Linked DNA regions of Cricetulus griseus. The protein of the gene in region 1 binds, or shares a complex with, the protein of each later gene. Links are inferred from orthologs where the notes say so. Each region holds a gene or a part of one and is shown in the gene's direction. Other genes may lie near its edges.

Region 1 (7,373 bases):
GATGAGTTTAATATATGAATGGTTTCTGAAATTTCTTATAATAAGCTCATATGGTAGGCATAGATCAAAATGTGTTGCCTGTTAGTACTGTGGGTTCTGTTGCTGGAGTCTTCTTGTCTCAACAGGCCCCATAGCTGCTTCATCCCCAATTAAGCACACAAAGACCTATATTAATTATAAAACTGTTGGCTGATAGCTAGGACTTCTTACTGGCTAGTTCTGTCTTAATTATTAACCCAAGGCTACTAATCTATGTATTTCTACATGACCTTATCTTACTGGAGAATGCCTGCTACGTCCTATCTTCCCAGTCTCTACATGGCATCGCCTCGCAGTCTCTCTCTGCCTACCTTTCCCAGAATTCTTGTCTCCTAGCCCCGCCTATCTTCATGCCTCTATTGGCCAAACAGTGTTTTAACCATTAACCAATAAGAGAAACATATACAGAAGGACATCCCTCATCAGGGTTCCTTTTTTTCCCTCTTGTTTTGTTTTTTGAGATAGGGTCTCTATATGTAACCCTAGCTGTCCTAGAACTCAATATGTAGGCCAGACTGGCCTAGAACTTATAGAGATCCACCTGCCTCTGCCTCCCAAAAGCTGGGATTGAAGGTGTGTGCCACTATGCCTCTTTTTAAATTGATTTCTTTTTTAATTCTTGTAAGGTGTATTTTTCAGAGAGAGAGAGATAAAGACAGACAGAGAGAGAGAGAGAGAGAGAGAGAGAGAGAGAGAGAGAGAGTGTGTGTGTGATCTGGAAGAGTAGTATGCACTTCTGACTGCTGAACCAATAAATGTTACCATAATTACTGTGTAACACATCCACAAACATTCTTTTCAGAAAAAAATAAATATTGATGTGTTTTACTGGAAAACATTGTAGCTCATAGAGGTAGGTGTGGAAGAGCTAGAAAATAATAGTAAATCCTGAGGAAAATATCTGATAATGATAGTCTTTGTATTGGGGGTACAGTGTATGTTTGTATGTGTGCAACATGTTACACGTGTATGTGTGTGCACCTGTATATGGAGGCCAAAAGTTGACATCAGGTGTCTTTCTTTAAGACTTTCCACCTCATTTTCTGAGACAGTTTGCCTCACTGAACATGAAGTCCCTGCCTGCCTGTCGTGATGTACACTGCCACATGTGGCGTAGTCTTTTTAAACCAAGTACTACAATTGAGGTTCCTGCATTTCACTCCCGTCCCTGTTCTTAACCAAATTTTTTTTTCTCCTTAGACCTCAGACTTTCCTGTTCTTGATCCCAGCTGGACGGCTCAGGAAGAAATGGCCCTTTTAGAAGCTGTAATGGACTGTGGCTTTGGAAATTGGTAAGAGTTTAGTGTTGGGTGTTCCTTTCCTTATGGGCTCAGAAGAGAAACCACTGTGGAAATACAAAAGCAGAGTGCCTCAGAAAGTGAAAAGCTCTGCTGCTTCCCTGATGACGAGGGACTGGGGGGGGGGGCAGTTTCTCATTTGTGTAAACTTCTTCTAGGCCTGAAATACCTTCAGAATACAGGATGTTTAGTGGCTCATAACTGAACAGTTCTCAGTGTTACTTTGGATCATCAACACCAAGATTGTTCTTCCTGAGTTGTGGAGAAGTATAGGCTGCTAATTGTTTCTCCCTTCTGGTTTTTATAGATTTATGAGTACACAATACAGCTTTAAGTGTGTATGCACTTGTTAGGGCTTGAGGGTGTGAGTTTGCTTTTCCACCCCCTCCACCCGTGTGTGTGTGTGTGTGTGTGTGTGTGTGTGTGTGTGTGTGTGTAGTGGCTGGAGATTGATATCAAATGTCGTCCTCGATTATGCTGTCCGTGTTATTTTTTGAGACAAAGTCTCTCACTTAATCTGGAGGTTAATCTCCCAGATTTTATAATTTAGGAACACTCCTGCTAATAATTCTGTTTTGTGAACTAGACAGCAGAGATCTTATTAAACATATTCTTTGTTCATGAAGCTTCTGAATCTTAGGGAGTTAAATTCTTTCTTGTTTTTCATAACTTGGTAGTGAAGGAACCTCCTGGGTCTTCGCTGGTTGCTAGTGCTCCTAGTACTTTCTTGTGTCATTAGGAGGGCTGCCCTCCTTATGTCCAGGGTCAAGTGACAGACCAGAGCTCAGCTCATATTTTGTTTCCATTTATTTAGCACCTACACATCATGAAAACACTGTATGTGTAGAGAGTACCAGGGACCACTTGTGAGCAGTTTATAAGTCATCTTTGCCTGAGACTTTACTTTTTCTCTAAAGTGGGCCAGTCCCTCTCATCTTCTTTCCCTCTTAGCAAAGACTAAGGAAACGTCTGTTACTGGGTGGGAAAGATAGATAGCTGAGTGTTAGAGCTTTTGCTCAGGATGTGTGAGGTATTTGGGTTCAATCCCCATCACCACCCAGGATAATCTAGTTACTTCTGTATTCAGTGTGGATAAGGGACTTGGCTTGATGGTAAGAGCACAAAAATTTAGGTTCCTATCTTCACATGGGCTCTTTACCTATTAAGGGAATCAAACTGTCTACATTTGACTGATGTACACAGCATCATGGTGATGCCCTAGGAAAGGGTTCTGTAAGAGTGAGCTTGAGCTGGGCGCACGCCTTTAATCCCAGCACTCAGGAGGCAGAGGCAGGCGGATCTCTGTGAGTTCGAGGCCAGCCTGGTCTCCAGAGCGAGTGCCAGGATAGGCTCCTAAGCTACCCAGAGAAACCCTGTCTCGGGGAAAAAAAAAAAAAAGAGTGAGCTTGCAGAGGGGACTGAGAGATTTTACCTCTACCTCTGCATCACCTAAGGTAGGAGTCATCAATCTCAGTATAAATTCTGGCTTTGTCTTCCTTAGCAAGTATATTACCTCTTAGGTATCATATGTTTTTTATTCTGTGAAATAAAAATAATAATATACTACTAAGGTGATCTTACATTATGTCTGAGTATTTGTTATCTCAATGTCTTGCATATCCATAGGAATTCTAGTGAAGAAATGTCTGCTCATGACATGTGTTTTGTATGCTATAAGACATGCAGAAATAAAACTAGATTTATATACTTTTTTAGACAGAGTCTCACCATGTAGCCCTGGCTGGCCTGGAATTCTGTGTAAACCAAGCTAGCCTCAATTTTACAGAAATTCACCTGCGTCTAACCTCCAAGTGCTGGGATTGAAGGTGTGTGCCACCATGCCTGGCACATTTGTACATTTTGTATGTTCCAAGATGGTTTCTATTGTTACTGATGATCTTTAAGGGCTTATTTATTTATTTATTTATTTATTTATTTAAAGATTTTATTTATTATGTATACAACATTCTGCTTCCATGTATATCTGCACACCAGAAGAGGGCACCAGATCTCATAATGGATGGTTGTGAACCACCATGTGGTTGCTGGGAATTGAACTCAGGACCTCTGGAAGAACAGTCGGTGCTCTTAACCTCTGAGCCATCTCTCCAGCCCAAGGGCTTTTTATTTGTTTGTTTGTTTTTTTGTTTGTTTATTAGGTGTGTGTGTGTGTGTCTGTGTGTCTGTGTGTCTGTGTGTCTGTGTGTCTGTGTAAGTGTTTGTCACTCATGCTCACATGCCAAAGAGGCCAGAAAAGGGAGTAAGTGAAGTTGCAGGCACTTACTGACCACTGAAGGAAATATTTTTAACTGCTGAGCCAGCTCTCTAGCCCCCTTAAAAATTTTAAGTCCCATTTATTATGGTGTATGTGATGTGGGCACTACATGTGAAGTACACAGGACAGCTTGCAAGAATTGCTTCTCTCTTCCACATTTTGAAGAGGAGGCTGTTTGGTTTTGTTGGTGGTGGTGGTGGTGGTTTTTTTGGTTTTGTTTTTAGATAGGGTTCTCTCTATGTGGTCCTGGCTGTCCTGGAACTCAGTATATAGACCAGGCTGGCCTGGGTTTCATAGAGATCCTCCAGCCTCTACCTCCCAAGTTCTAAGATTAAAAGCATAAGCCACAACGCCTGACCTCGTTTTATTTTAAAGACACTGTCTCACTCGATAGCCCTGGCTGATATAGAGTGCCTACCTCTACCTCCCTAATGTTGTTATTACAGGCATTGCCACCATTTCCTGACTCCAAGGTGGCTTCTTGTTTATAACGTTTCTTTCTCCGACCTACCTCTGGGAAATTTATAGGTGATGTTGATGATGATATTTGAAACAAGGTTTCATGTGTCTATCTCAGACTGGCCTTTGAACACAATATGCAGCCGAAGATGACCTTGAATTTCTGACACTTCTGCCTCTGCCTCTTTTGTATTGGGATTACAGGTGTATACCACCGTGTCTGGGCTTCATGCATTTTAGGCAAAAGTACTTGGCCAGCTGAGTTACATACCCGGCCTGGAAATTTATGGGTAAAAAATAGTCATCTTCCTTCCAGTGGGAAGGAAAGGTCCCTTTATTGTTTCTCTATCTTGAAGTAGCAAGATTTGAAATATCAGATGGCATGAGTGTCAGTGGTATATCTGTCTCACTGTTGTTTTGCTCACATCTACTTGGAGGTATCAAATTATTGATTTTATGTTGATTTGACTTCGAATATGGAATGAACAAACCAAGCTTTCAGTGGCCTGTATCAGTAAGAAAACTACTCTCTTCGCTCTTTTTCCACATTGTTCTAGGCAGGATGTAGCTAATCAGATGTGCACCAAAACCAAAGAGGAATGTGAGAAGCACTACATGAAGCATTTCATCAATAACCCTCTGTTTGCATCTACCCTGCTAAACCTGAAGCAAGCTGAGGCAGCCAAAACTGCTGACACAGCCATTCCATTTCACTGTAAGTGCCTGCCTAGGTAAGAGGTACTTAGACCATCCTTGGGCTCTGTTTCCATAGCAGATAAACAGTGATATGATGACTTGGACAGATAAAGAGCTTCTGGAAGGTAAGAGGAGTTTGGTATGATACCTGTTGAGTCAGGGCTATGATATGGCAAGAAGGGAGCCCATCCCAGAGGTCAGAGTTGCAGCCTTCTATTCTGGATCTCTTGCAATATATTAGTTAACATTAATTAACAATTGCTTCTGTAAGTTGTTATGTCCAAAAAGGGGCCAATCTATGTTGTCTTTGTTACAAGCCTTCTTATCATCCCTTTGGTAGGAGTTGCTTACCAGGATTCACTATTGCCTCAGTGTTAAGTCCAAGGAGTAATTTGTTCTTTTTATTCACTTAGTTATGGCAGTGAAGGCAATCTTTTTTAATCTGATATGCCTGTGGGGATCAGTGGGTCTTTTAATGCAGTGTAACCAGAATCTGATGAATTAATTACAAACAAGGATCGTCCATGAATGGCCCCAGAACACCAGTAATGTATGCATGCTTTCCTACTGGCCTGCCTTTCCTCACTTCTGGGAAACAGCTTTGTAGCTGATGACCTCAGAGGTTGCTGATACCTCCTACTTGGATAGCACTCTGGATGTTAGCACTTTCCTCCATTCCATTAGGCCTGTTTTTTATGAACAGCAACCCAGTGAAATAATCAGAGTGGGTGCTTTTGTGTTACACACAAGGAAACTGAGATTTTAAAAGGTTGAACAATTTGTACAAAGTTGTAGAACTGTTGTAGGCTGGCACTGGGACCCAGTTTGATTAACTTCAAAATCCAGGATGCTTTTGCTTCTTGGTTGGATGAGATCTGTAAGTTGGTAGTGGTCCTAAAGATCAAAGGAGCAGGGCACTGACAGGATACTTAAGTTCTATACATTGAAGGAAAATAGCTTTGTTTCATTTTTCAATCATTTTGGGAAAACAAAAATCAGAGGGCAAGGCTACAGGATGGCTCAGCAGGCAAGGCACCTGCCATCAAGCCTGACCTAAATTCACTCCCTGGCACTCACATGGTGGAAGGAGAGAACGGACTTCTGCAACTTGTCCTCTGACCTCTGCATGCATGTCATTGCACATGCCTGCCTGCACAAACACATGCAGATCAGAGGACGTTTTCTTCATTAGGAAATCAGTCTGGGATTTGGTGTGCATAGTAGCATAGGACTATAACCCCATGATTGCCACTTGGGAAGCTGAGACATGAGGATTGGGAGGTTGGGAGTAGTGTAGGATATATAATGAAACCTCTGTCTCAGCACAAAATAAAAACACCACCAGCACTTGGGAGGCAGAGGCAGGTAGATCTCTGAGTTCAAAATCAGCCTAGTCCACATAGCGAGTGACAGCCAGAGCTACATAGAGAGAAGACTCTATCCCCCCATTCCCCCCAAAAAGACAAAAGAAGCTGTTGTATTTTTTTCCGCAATTACTTTTCATTCTTTATAAAACTTTTGTATTTATTCTTAGATCCTTTTTCTCAAAGAAATGTTTCAGAGTTGCATGTGATGCCTGACACTTGTAACCCAGCAGCCTGAGGCAAGAGAATTATAAGAGTCTGAGGCCACCCTCAGCTATTTAGTGATACCCTGCCCTCATATGTTTTGGCCTTGCCTTGAACTCATTGTGTAGTTAAGTGTGCCTTGATCTGATCTTCCCGCTTTTGCCTCTTAGGTGCTAGGATAAAGGCATGTGCCTTCATACTCTGAGAAACTCTGTTTTGTTTTTGTTGTTATTGTTAGTTTTTGGTTTGTTTGTTTTTTGTGGGGGGGGGTTGTTTGTTGAATTAGCAAGTCTTTTCATTGACCATCACCTCACAAATAACAACACAGAAACTTATTAATTATGAAGGCTTGGCCTTTAGCTTAGGCTTGTCTCAACTAGCTGTTATAACTTAAATTAACCATTTATATTAATCTATGTTCTGCCACATGGCTTTACCTCTCTTCCATCTTGCACCTCCTATTTCCTCCCCGTGTCTGGCTGTCGACCAGGCCCTTCTTCTTCACAGAGTCTGTCCCTGTAAATCCTGCCTAACCTCTTCCTGTCTAGCTATTGGTCATTCAGCTTTTTATTAAGCCAATCAGAAGACACCTTGCCTTGGCAAAAACATATCTTCACAGTGTAAGCAAATATTCACCAACAGTTTGTTTTTGTTTTTAAATCCAAACTATAAATAAAGACATTTATTTGACATTTTAATATCAGTGTTTTATTTATTAAAAAAAAACCCATTGTTTGTTCCAGCTGCAGATGACCCTCCCCGGCCTGCTTTTGACTCATTGTTGTCTCGGGACATGGCAGGATACATGCCAGCTCGGGCAGATTTCATTGAGGTAATAAAAACTTGTTTTTAGTATACAATAAGGAAAAACTACTTTTGTTTCCAATGAGGTTATTATCTCTTATGAAAGGAAGATTTTTCAAGGCACTGTCATTTCCAGGTCTTTCCTTTTCCCATTGTGACCACCTGTGGAGGGAGCAGTGACAGTTTTGAAGGGGAACCAGCCTCCTAGGGTGCAGTTGTATTGCTCCCACCATC
Region 2 (8,076 bases), on another chromosome or scaffold:
TTGGTCCAGTCTTTCCATGCTATATCTCTTGTCCTTCCTTTGGGAATGGGAACATATATTTTAATATGAATGGCGATGAAAGTGTCTTAGTTATGGTCCTATTGCTGTGATGAAACACCAAAAAGCAAGTTGGAGAGGAAAGGGTTTATTTGGCTTATGCTTCCACATCACAGTGGACAGGCACTCAAGTGAGGCAGGAATTGGGAGGGAAGAGTTGATACAGTGGCCATGGAGGGGTGCGGCTTACTGGCTTGCTCCTCATGGCTTGCTCTGCCTGCTTTCTTACAGAACTCAGGACTACCAGCCCAGGGATGGCACCGCCCACAATGGGTTGGGCCCTCCCACATCAATCACTAATTAAGAAAATGCCATACAGGCTTGTCTACAGCCTGATCTTATGGAAGCATTTTCTCAATTTAGATTCTCTCCTTTCATATAATTCCAGTTTGTGTGTGAAGCTGACATAAAACTAGCCAGCACAGAAGGCTATCTATATTTATTCATTTAAGGATAATTTAGCACTTTGAGTTTTCTGTTCCCAAAGAACAGAAACATGAATTATTTTTTTTTATTTTTGGTTTTTTGAGACAGGGTTTCTCTGTGTAGCTTTGGAGCCTATCCTGGCACTTGCTCTGGAGATCAGGCTACACACAGAGATCCGCCTGCTTCTGCCTCCCAAGTGGTGGGATTAAAGGCATGCGCTACCAACCCCAGGCTTAGAAACATGAGTTATTAAGGAAACTGTTGAATAGCATTGTTACTATCTGTTACAATTTTTCCCAAGAGATTTACCCCTTTATACAAGTCCATTTTAGGTAAATGAGTTGCACTCAGTGAGCATATATAGTAGCTCTACCTTTGTTGGTGGTTCTACTTTCCATGGTTTCAGTAACTTATGGCAAATCACGATCTAAATATAAAAACACTAACTTCAGAAATAAGCATGTCACAGTTAAAAATTGTAAGCGATGCTGAGAAATGTGATGAAGTTTATATAATCCAGATCTATACATGTATTCTATGTGAATCCATTTGTCCAATGTATCCGAGGCATATATGCTATTTACTCACTACTCACTTTCAGCTGTCTCAGTCATCAGAGCTTCCAGGGTATCAGAGTGCTTATGTTCAACTTAACAGCCACCAAAAAGCATAAGAGTAATGACACTAGCAATCTGAATATGCCAAACAAACTGTGACATACTTTCCCTAAGTGAAAAGATGGAAGCTCTCAGTAAGGCAAGAATAAAGTCTATATATGCTGAGGTTGCTACCATCTATGGTAGCAATTAAATATAATATAAATAGAGTTTGTTTGGTACTGTTCACTGCTTCAGGCATCCACTGAAAGTTGTAGAATATACCTGCCTCACATAGAAAGGAAAACTATTGAGCAACTACTCTATGCCAAAAACTGTGCAACAATATGAAATAGTACAGTAGTGAGAAAAACCTGATAATGTTTTTCTAAGGAAATTGGACCTGCCCAGCAGATGATGCAGAGACAGGGGCAACGAATATCTTATTTAATTTTCTGCATTAGAAAAATATTGTATATTATATATTTTTTAAAACACGATACCTTGGGCATTTTTATGTCATGGAGTCAGTCATGCCTTCAAAGCTCATTGTAAAAGGCATTTTTGTTGATAAGGGAGATAGCCTAGATTTCATTTCTAATTTCTATCTTCTCAATTGCTTCTTGGCATAAGCTTGCAGGACAGTACTCTAACTCTGTTGCTAATGCCAACGTCAACACTTTGAAGCATTTCTGCTGAGCAGCCGATTTTTCAGAACCCACTTCATAAACTGCAATTAGTTTTCTATAAAGGGCAAATTATTCCCTTTTTAAATTTCAGCATTTATTATACGTTTGCTATACATTAGCATCTATACATTTCTGTCTGCAGTTAGCCCAAGGGAATCCACATCTTTTTGTCCTATAAAGCCTTCTACTTAAAATAGAAGTTTTTATTATAAAAGAAGAAAAATGTCTGAAATGAACTCAGTGGGCATCAGGAAGGAATACAAGATGTCAAGACAGAAGACATAATACATGGAGGAACTAAGTCCTAAGAATTATCTAAGCAAGCAATAATAAAATACAGGTGCAGGTCTGGATTTAACAGAATTATTAGATAATTGATAGATAAATAAAATGGCCATTAGCTATTCTTATATTAGGGGTTCAAGAAATCAAGCAAGGGGCAGGGTGTGGTGCTGCATGCTTTTATTCCCAGCACTTGGGAGGCAGAGGCAGGTGGATCTCTGAGTCTGAGGTCAACCTGGTCTAGACAGAAGGTTCCAGGACAGTGATGACTACAGGGAGGGAGGGAAGAAGAGAGTGAAGGAGAGAGACAAGGAGGGAGAGAGAGAGGGGAGAGGGAGGAAGGAAGGAGGGAGGGAGGGAAGGAGGGAGGCAGGGAGAGAGGAGGAGAGGGAGGGGAGGCAGGCAGGGAGGGAGGGAGACAGTTCAGTGGTTAAGAATGCAACTGTTCTTGTAGAGGACTGAAGTGTGAGACTCAACACCAATGCCTGGCTAGCTGTTCATATCCCCTGCTTCTAATCTCTTTGGGCACCTACACACACACACACACACACACACACACACACACACACAACTAAAAAAATTGTGAAACTAAAAGCTTGGGTTTCAAAATCAGTTATGACAAAGAAAAGAATGGGCAGTACCTTAATCACTCTCAAAATGTGTAATAAAAGTCCTCTATTGCCTAAAAAATCCAAAGATCATTACTTGGTATAGAACAAGGACTCTTAGATTCCACATTACAATTATCCCCCATTAACAAGTGAATCAGAGACAAAAATGTGCTAACATTACAACAAATTGTGAATTTCTTTTAGTTATAAGGACAAGTGACTGGAATGAGAGGGTTGCTTGATTTGAGTTTCAATCTCTGTCACCAAACAGGTGTTCTACCGGCTTCAGATCTTACTGCTAGCAAGGACACAGACAAGCTTTCTTGCTATGTCTGATGATCCCAGACATCTTTGGAAATAACTGAGTAAAAGGCTCTGTAGAGACAGGTCAAAGGAGTGCTTTCATTTTTACTATCCTTATCCCGGTGTCCCTTGGTTCCTTATTTCTTCCTTCATTCAGCTTCTTCTCAACTCTATAGAATACACTTTAGGTCCATACCTCTACTTCCTGTATACTAGCCCTGGCTGTCCTGCAACATGGTCAGTAGACCAAGCTTATCTCTTAAGCTTGTTTTAAAATTTTAACAGAATTCTACATTATAAAATTATAACTCTTTCGTTATAATAAAGCTATCTAATAATACCCGGCAAGTGTCGATTTAGTTTTCTATCTCAATTTCGACTAATATGAAATTAGTTGGTTTAAAGTTCTATTGGATTTATTTGAAACAATTTTAGGATTGAGTGTCCATTGAGTGTCCACTGAGAAACTGTTGCATTAGAAACTTGACAAACTATTTTACAGTTATAGTCATCAATGTCGTTTCCTGACAAAGGAGGCATAATGTAGGCTTTTCAGTTTTTCTTACATTCTTCGCGTCAAACAACCCTGTAGAGATGAAAATGTTCTATCCAGTTATGATCATCCTGGGTATGAATTTTCCAGTATTCAGACACGTGAGCCCCGTTCCATCGCTGACCCTCAACCTTGTCCCAACTCCAAGTCGCCATGTTAACATTTTAAATTTTAATAGAGGGACTCAATTTCTAACACTTAACAGTAAGGCTCTTCCGGCACTCACGGGGAGCGTCTAAGAGCCAAGGTAGACTTCTAAGCCATAGCCACCCACGCAAAACATCACCAAACAGAGGGTCCGCCTGCGCTACACAGAACCTCCGAGTTCAGACGCCTTGCTCTTGATTGGTCTCGGTGCCTGTCTGTCACATAGAGAGAGTGGGGCCTACCCTCACATCCAAATAAGACGCGGTAGTTTTACGTCATCTCAGCGCGACGGAATCCGCGCGGGAGGGGAGGGGGCGAGCCGTCTTGGCCGCGCTTGGGGGCTGCTGCGAAGGTGTCATGGCTGCTGCTGCGGAGCCCAGTGCCTCAAGCTGCAGCGAGAGGAACCTGGAGCGAAGCTCCAGCCCCCTTCTCACCCGCGAGGTGCTCTGCGAGCTCTTTCGTTCCCTGCACACCCTGACTGGGCAGGTAAGTGAAGGTGCGGCGGGGGTGGGGAGCATCCCGGTCCTCTCTCCGGAGTCCTCCCTCGTCGCGGAGTCCTCCCGCATCGCGTCTGCGGCTAGGATGCCGAGGCCGCGGCCGCCGGGACCGGGAGGAGCGGGAGCCCAGTTGCCTGGGGCCGGGAGCGGCCGGCTGCACACTCGGTGACCACGCGTGAGTACCGAGGGCGAGAGGAAACACGGGTCCTGGCGCCGAACTCTTGCAGAAAATCAATGCATGAGAGATGGCAGGGTTAAGGAGGCTCCTGGAGCTGACTGTGGTTTTTCCTCCCCTGTTTTAATTCGTCGGTTAGTATGGCCTGAAACTTTTCCTACCTCCATCTCCACTCTTTAGGGGGTGATTTACTCTGGGTTTTTATTTGTTTCTCATCATTTATTTGCATCTGTCATACCCTTTGAAACGGTGCGGGGGGCTGTAAGAATTTCTAAAATATAACTAACTTGTAATGTGCCTAGATTTTAGTGTAAATTGTTGGATGATTTGAATGTATGACCAGCTCTACCGTCTTTACTAGTGTCGTGTGACTATTAACTAATCGCTCTTACAGAAATGCCATAGTAAAACTGGATTTTAAAAAGGAGGTTCCTTCACTTTATTAGATAAAGCCATTCATGATATAATGAAGCTTATTTTTAATAAGGAGCAAAAGTATGTTTGCTTGCTTTTAAAAATATTTTATGTCAAACTGTTTCCTAGTTTGATTGGGGGCTGGTCTAGTGCATGTGGTACCTCTGACAATAGGGCATTTACCTGATTTGTGAGAATTATTTTTAAAACCCTTAGATGGATGAATAATTGATCTTGTAAAAAGTTATTTTAGTAAAAATTTTAAAACCTTAGTACGTTTATTTTGCCTGGCAAACTACTTTCATTTGTACATTCAGTTCGGTGTTATGAGGCAGTTAATAGTGGTCTTCTAAAATTAAAACTTTAAAATCAATTGTTTAATGAGCATTAGTAAATTTTTTCCCAAGTCTTAAAGACTTTGTTTAAATTAACATTTCAGTGATAATATTCCAGATCTTTAAATAGTTCAAAAGTCAAAGAACTTTTTGGCATGGATTTGGAACTTAAAGACTTAATCATTAATATTCTAATGTCCAGATGAGAAAAATATTCTCAGCCTTTGTGTTTAGAAGTTGCAAAAATAATGTACATTGATAAATGATTTGAACATCTAAAGTATTCTGCATATTGATTTTTTCAAAGTTATATAAATTTATACCAAAGGTTCAAATGGAAAAAACGATTCAATCTTAACTTATGCCACCTGCCAACAAATGTAACATAGTTAAAGGGACCTTTATACAAGTGTCAATATAAGATTTTTTTTAAATCAATTAAATGCTGTTTTAGTATTATTGTGTATTTTGAGATTATGATTTAAGCCATACACACATGTAAGTTGCCCCTAGGCAACTTGTGTCCTTTTGCAACAAATTAAAAGGATTTTTAAGATGTAAATTGTAATTATTAGTTCATTGTAAATATCATTGAATTATTAGTGCTTTTCAAAAGAAAGTATAAAACTGAATTGTAAAAAGTATTTTTTTCTCCAAATGCAAAATACACTTACATTAACCTTTTTTCTTTCCTCTCATTGGCCCATGTTATCAAGCTAAAGATTTGTTAGCTTGTTTTTTTTTTTTTTTTTTTTTGTATTAGTTTCTACTGAACATTCATAACTGATTAATCTAGTGTATTAATAGAAAAATTTGAATGTCAAGAGCTATGGGGTAAAATGCATAAAGGAATTTGCTGAATGAAAAATTGGATGTATTTGGGGGTCATTTTTGAATTATGACATTATTGTTTGATTTTTCATGGAAGACCAACTATCTTGAGTTGCCTTTGAAGACTTACATAATTCTGCTGAATTGACATAGAATATTATCCAGCCATTAAGATTTCTTTTCTATAGTTATTTTCTTTAAAGAATGTGATGCTTTCCTCAGGTTTAAAGATTACTTGTTTTTTTTATTCTTCAAGCCATTTAAATTTGCCATAGTCAACTGTATGTCTCTTGGAGAACTGTAAACACATGCTGATGGATTGCTTTCATACACATTATTAAATACAGTAATCTTATTAATCTTAATGTCAAATCTTAACTTAGTTGTAAGCTTATCTTTGCCAGTATAGTCTATGTAAAATTTCATATTTCTTTATGTCTGTCAAATAAGGACTTGAAATGGTTCTGGTCTCAGCAGTAAATGTTTGTATCCATTGTACACGAAAGTGCTTACTTTGGGAACTTGGGATTTCTTTGGTTCCGTAGACAGTGATTCACGTTTTGGTTTTTTATTTTTAACAACTCATTAGATTGATAGTTGAATTCATGAAACGTGTATCTTTACTTTGTGGAAAATATGACTAGTTGCCAATAAATTATTCTTGCAAAATACAGTTAACTTCCTTCCACTATGCGGTATGTACTTATACAATGTACTTATACAATAGGTGTCCTTAGAAAAGTTTATAGGGATTCCTTCATACTCAGTCAGTGATTACAGGTGGAGCTTCTCCTCTCCCACTAAAGTTTTGACTGATTTTGATATTAATTTTATATTCAGGTTCTTGGTATTTTCTAGGTGTAATTTTCTAGGTATAATCACCACTAGGTGATGAGAAATTTTCATGTAATGAGACTTATATTTTACTAAAAAAAAATCCTTAGTAAACACACTGGACACAGTTCTGTCAATCTGTTATACTGCTGTAGAAACATACTTGTTTTTCAGCTCAACAATTTCATAACTAATACTTTGATTATTATTTGAATTAGTTACTGTCATCTATCACTATGTGTGAATAATCTTGAGTTTTAAGTATTTTTAAAAATTGGTTAGATTTGAAAACAATGAAAGTGAGAACACATTGAGGTAATGAATATTTTAGGCATGTGTTTATGTTATAAGTAACAAAGAGAATTCACTTTCTGGAACTTCTGTAAAGCAACTTATGCTTCCTCTGTTGAATGCTTAGTTGGAATTAAGGATTTATTCCAACTAGGGCGGACCTATATTTGGACACCTTCCAAAAGTATTTTAGATATCCAAGTATCAAAAGAGGTTCCATCTTTTTATCTTTCATGGGTGGCTTCTCAAAGATGGCTCAATTATATAAATATAGGAACAGAATTAGAATATTAAGATGCTTTATTCATTTTTTTTCTAAGCTGCATCTTTGATTTTTAAAATGGCAACCAGGTAAAGCATTCTATTATGTCATTGAAACTTAGTAACTTTGAGCAAAATAGGCATGCATTACTCCATAGATATCTTATTTTTGTGATAATCCCATATATACAGCCTAATCGTGTAATTTTTGTGATGTTGCTGGTCTGTCCCTTTGAAGCTTAACCTCAGAGATGATGTGGTGAAAATTACAATCGATTGGAACAGGCTTCAGAGCCTCTCAGCATCCCAGCCTGCATTGCTCCTTACAGCACTTGAACAACACGTTTTGTATTTACAGGTAAATTTCATATTAGAAATGTTTGCTGGGATATTGAAAATAGAAATTAATTATAGTTAAATTAGTTGCAGTATTTGTCAGTTCTGCCTCAACACTCTATTAGTGTTAGTAGTGTTATTAATAAAAAAGGTTACTTAAATCTATATTGAGTCTAGGTCTGTTCATTTCACTAGTGATCCAGATAGTTATGAAAATAAAACCCAATAGGCCAATGTGGGTATGAAATTGAATAAATGAAATTCTATTCAATTCTAGGCTTTGCTGAAAATTCAATACAGTTCATCTATGGTGGGTTATAATTAAGCAATAAGACACGGCAGGTGTGAGTCATGCTATGATAATGATTCCATGCCTTGGGTGAGTTTGGAGGCTCATGGAGTGCTTTCAGTGGTTCAAGAAGTGGCATTATCCCAGCA

Evidence for each region. Proteins that work in one complex are often made in the same cells at the same time.
Region 2: Tada2a (region 1) and Mbip share a complex: the UniProt entries of both Homo sapiens proteins name them as parts of the ADA2A-containing complex. The link is inferred for Cricetulus griseus from reciprocal best matches to the Homo sapiens genes TADA2A and MBIP.

What each region holds. Positions count from the first base shown.
Region 1 is NC_048600.1:97,365,757-97,373,129, reverse strand, and holds part of Tada2a (transcriptional adapter 2-alpha), read left to right. Parts: intron 1-1,239; coding exon 1,240-1,331; intron 1,332-4,628; coding exon 4,629-4,786; intron 4,787-7,078; coding exon 7,079-7,167; intron 7,168-7,373. UniProt on the Homo sapiens protein: Component of the ATAC complex, a complex with histone acetyltransferase activity on histones H3 and H4. Required for the function of some acidic activation domains, which activate transcription from a distant site. Binds double-stranded DNA.
Region 2 is NC_048598.1:146,082,310-146,090,385, forward strand, and holds the start of Mbip (MAP3K12-binding inhibitory protein 1), read left to right. Parts: upstream 1-3,958; 5' UTR 3,959-4,021; coding exon 4,022-4,150; intron 4,151-7,540; coding exon 7,541-7,660; intron 7,661-8,076. UniProt on the Homo sapiens protein: Inhibits the MAP3K12 activity to induce the activation of the JNK/SAPK pathway. Component of the ATAC complex, a complex with histone acetyltransferase activity on histones H3 and H4.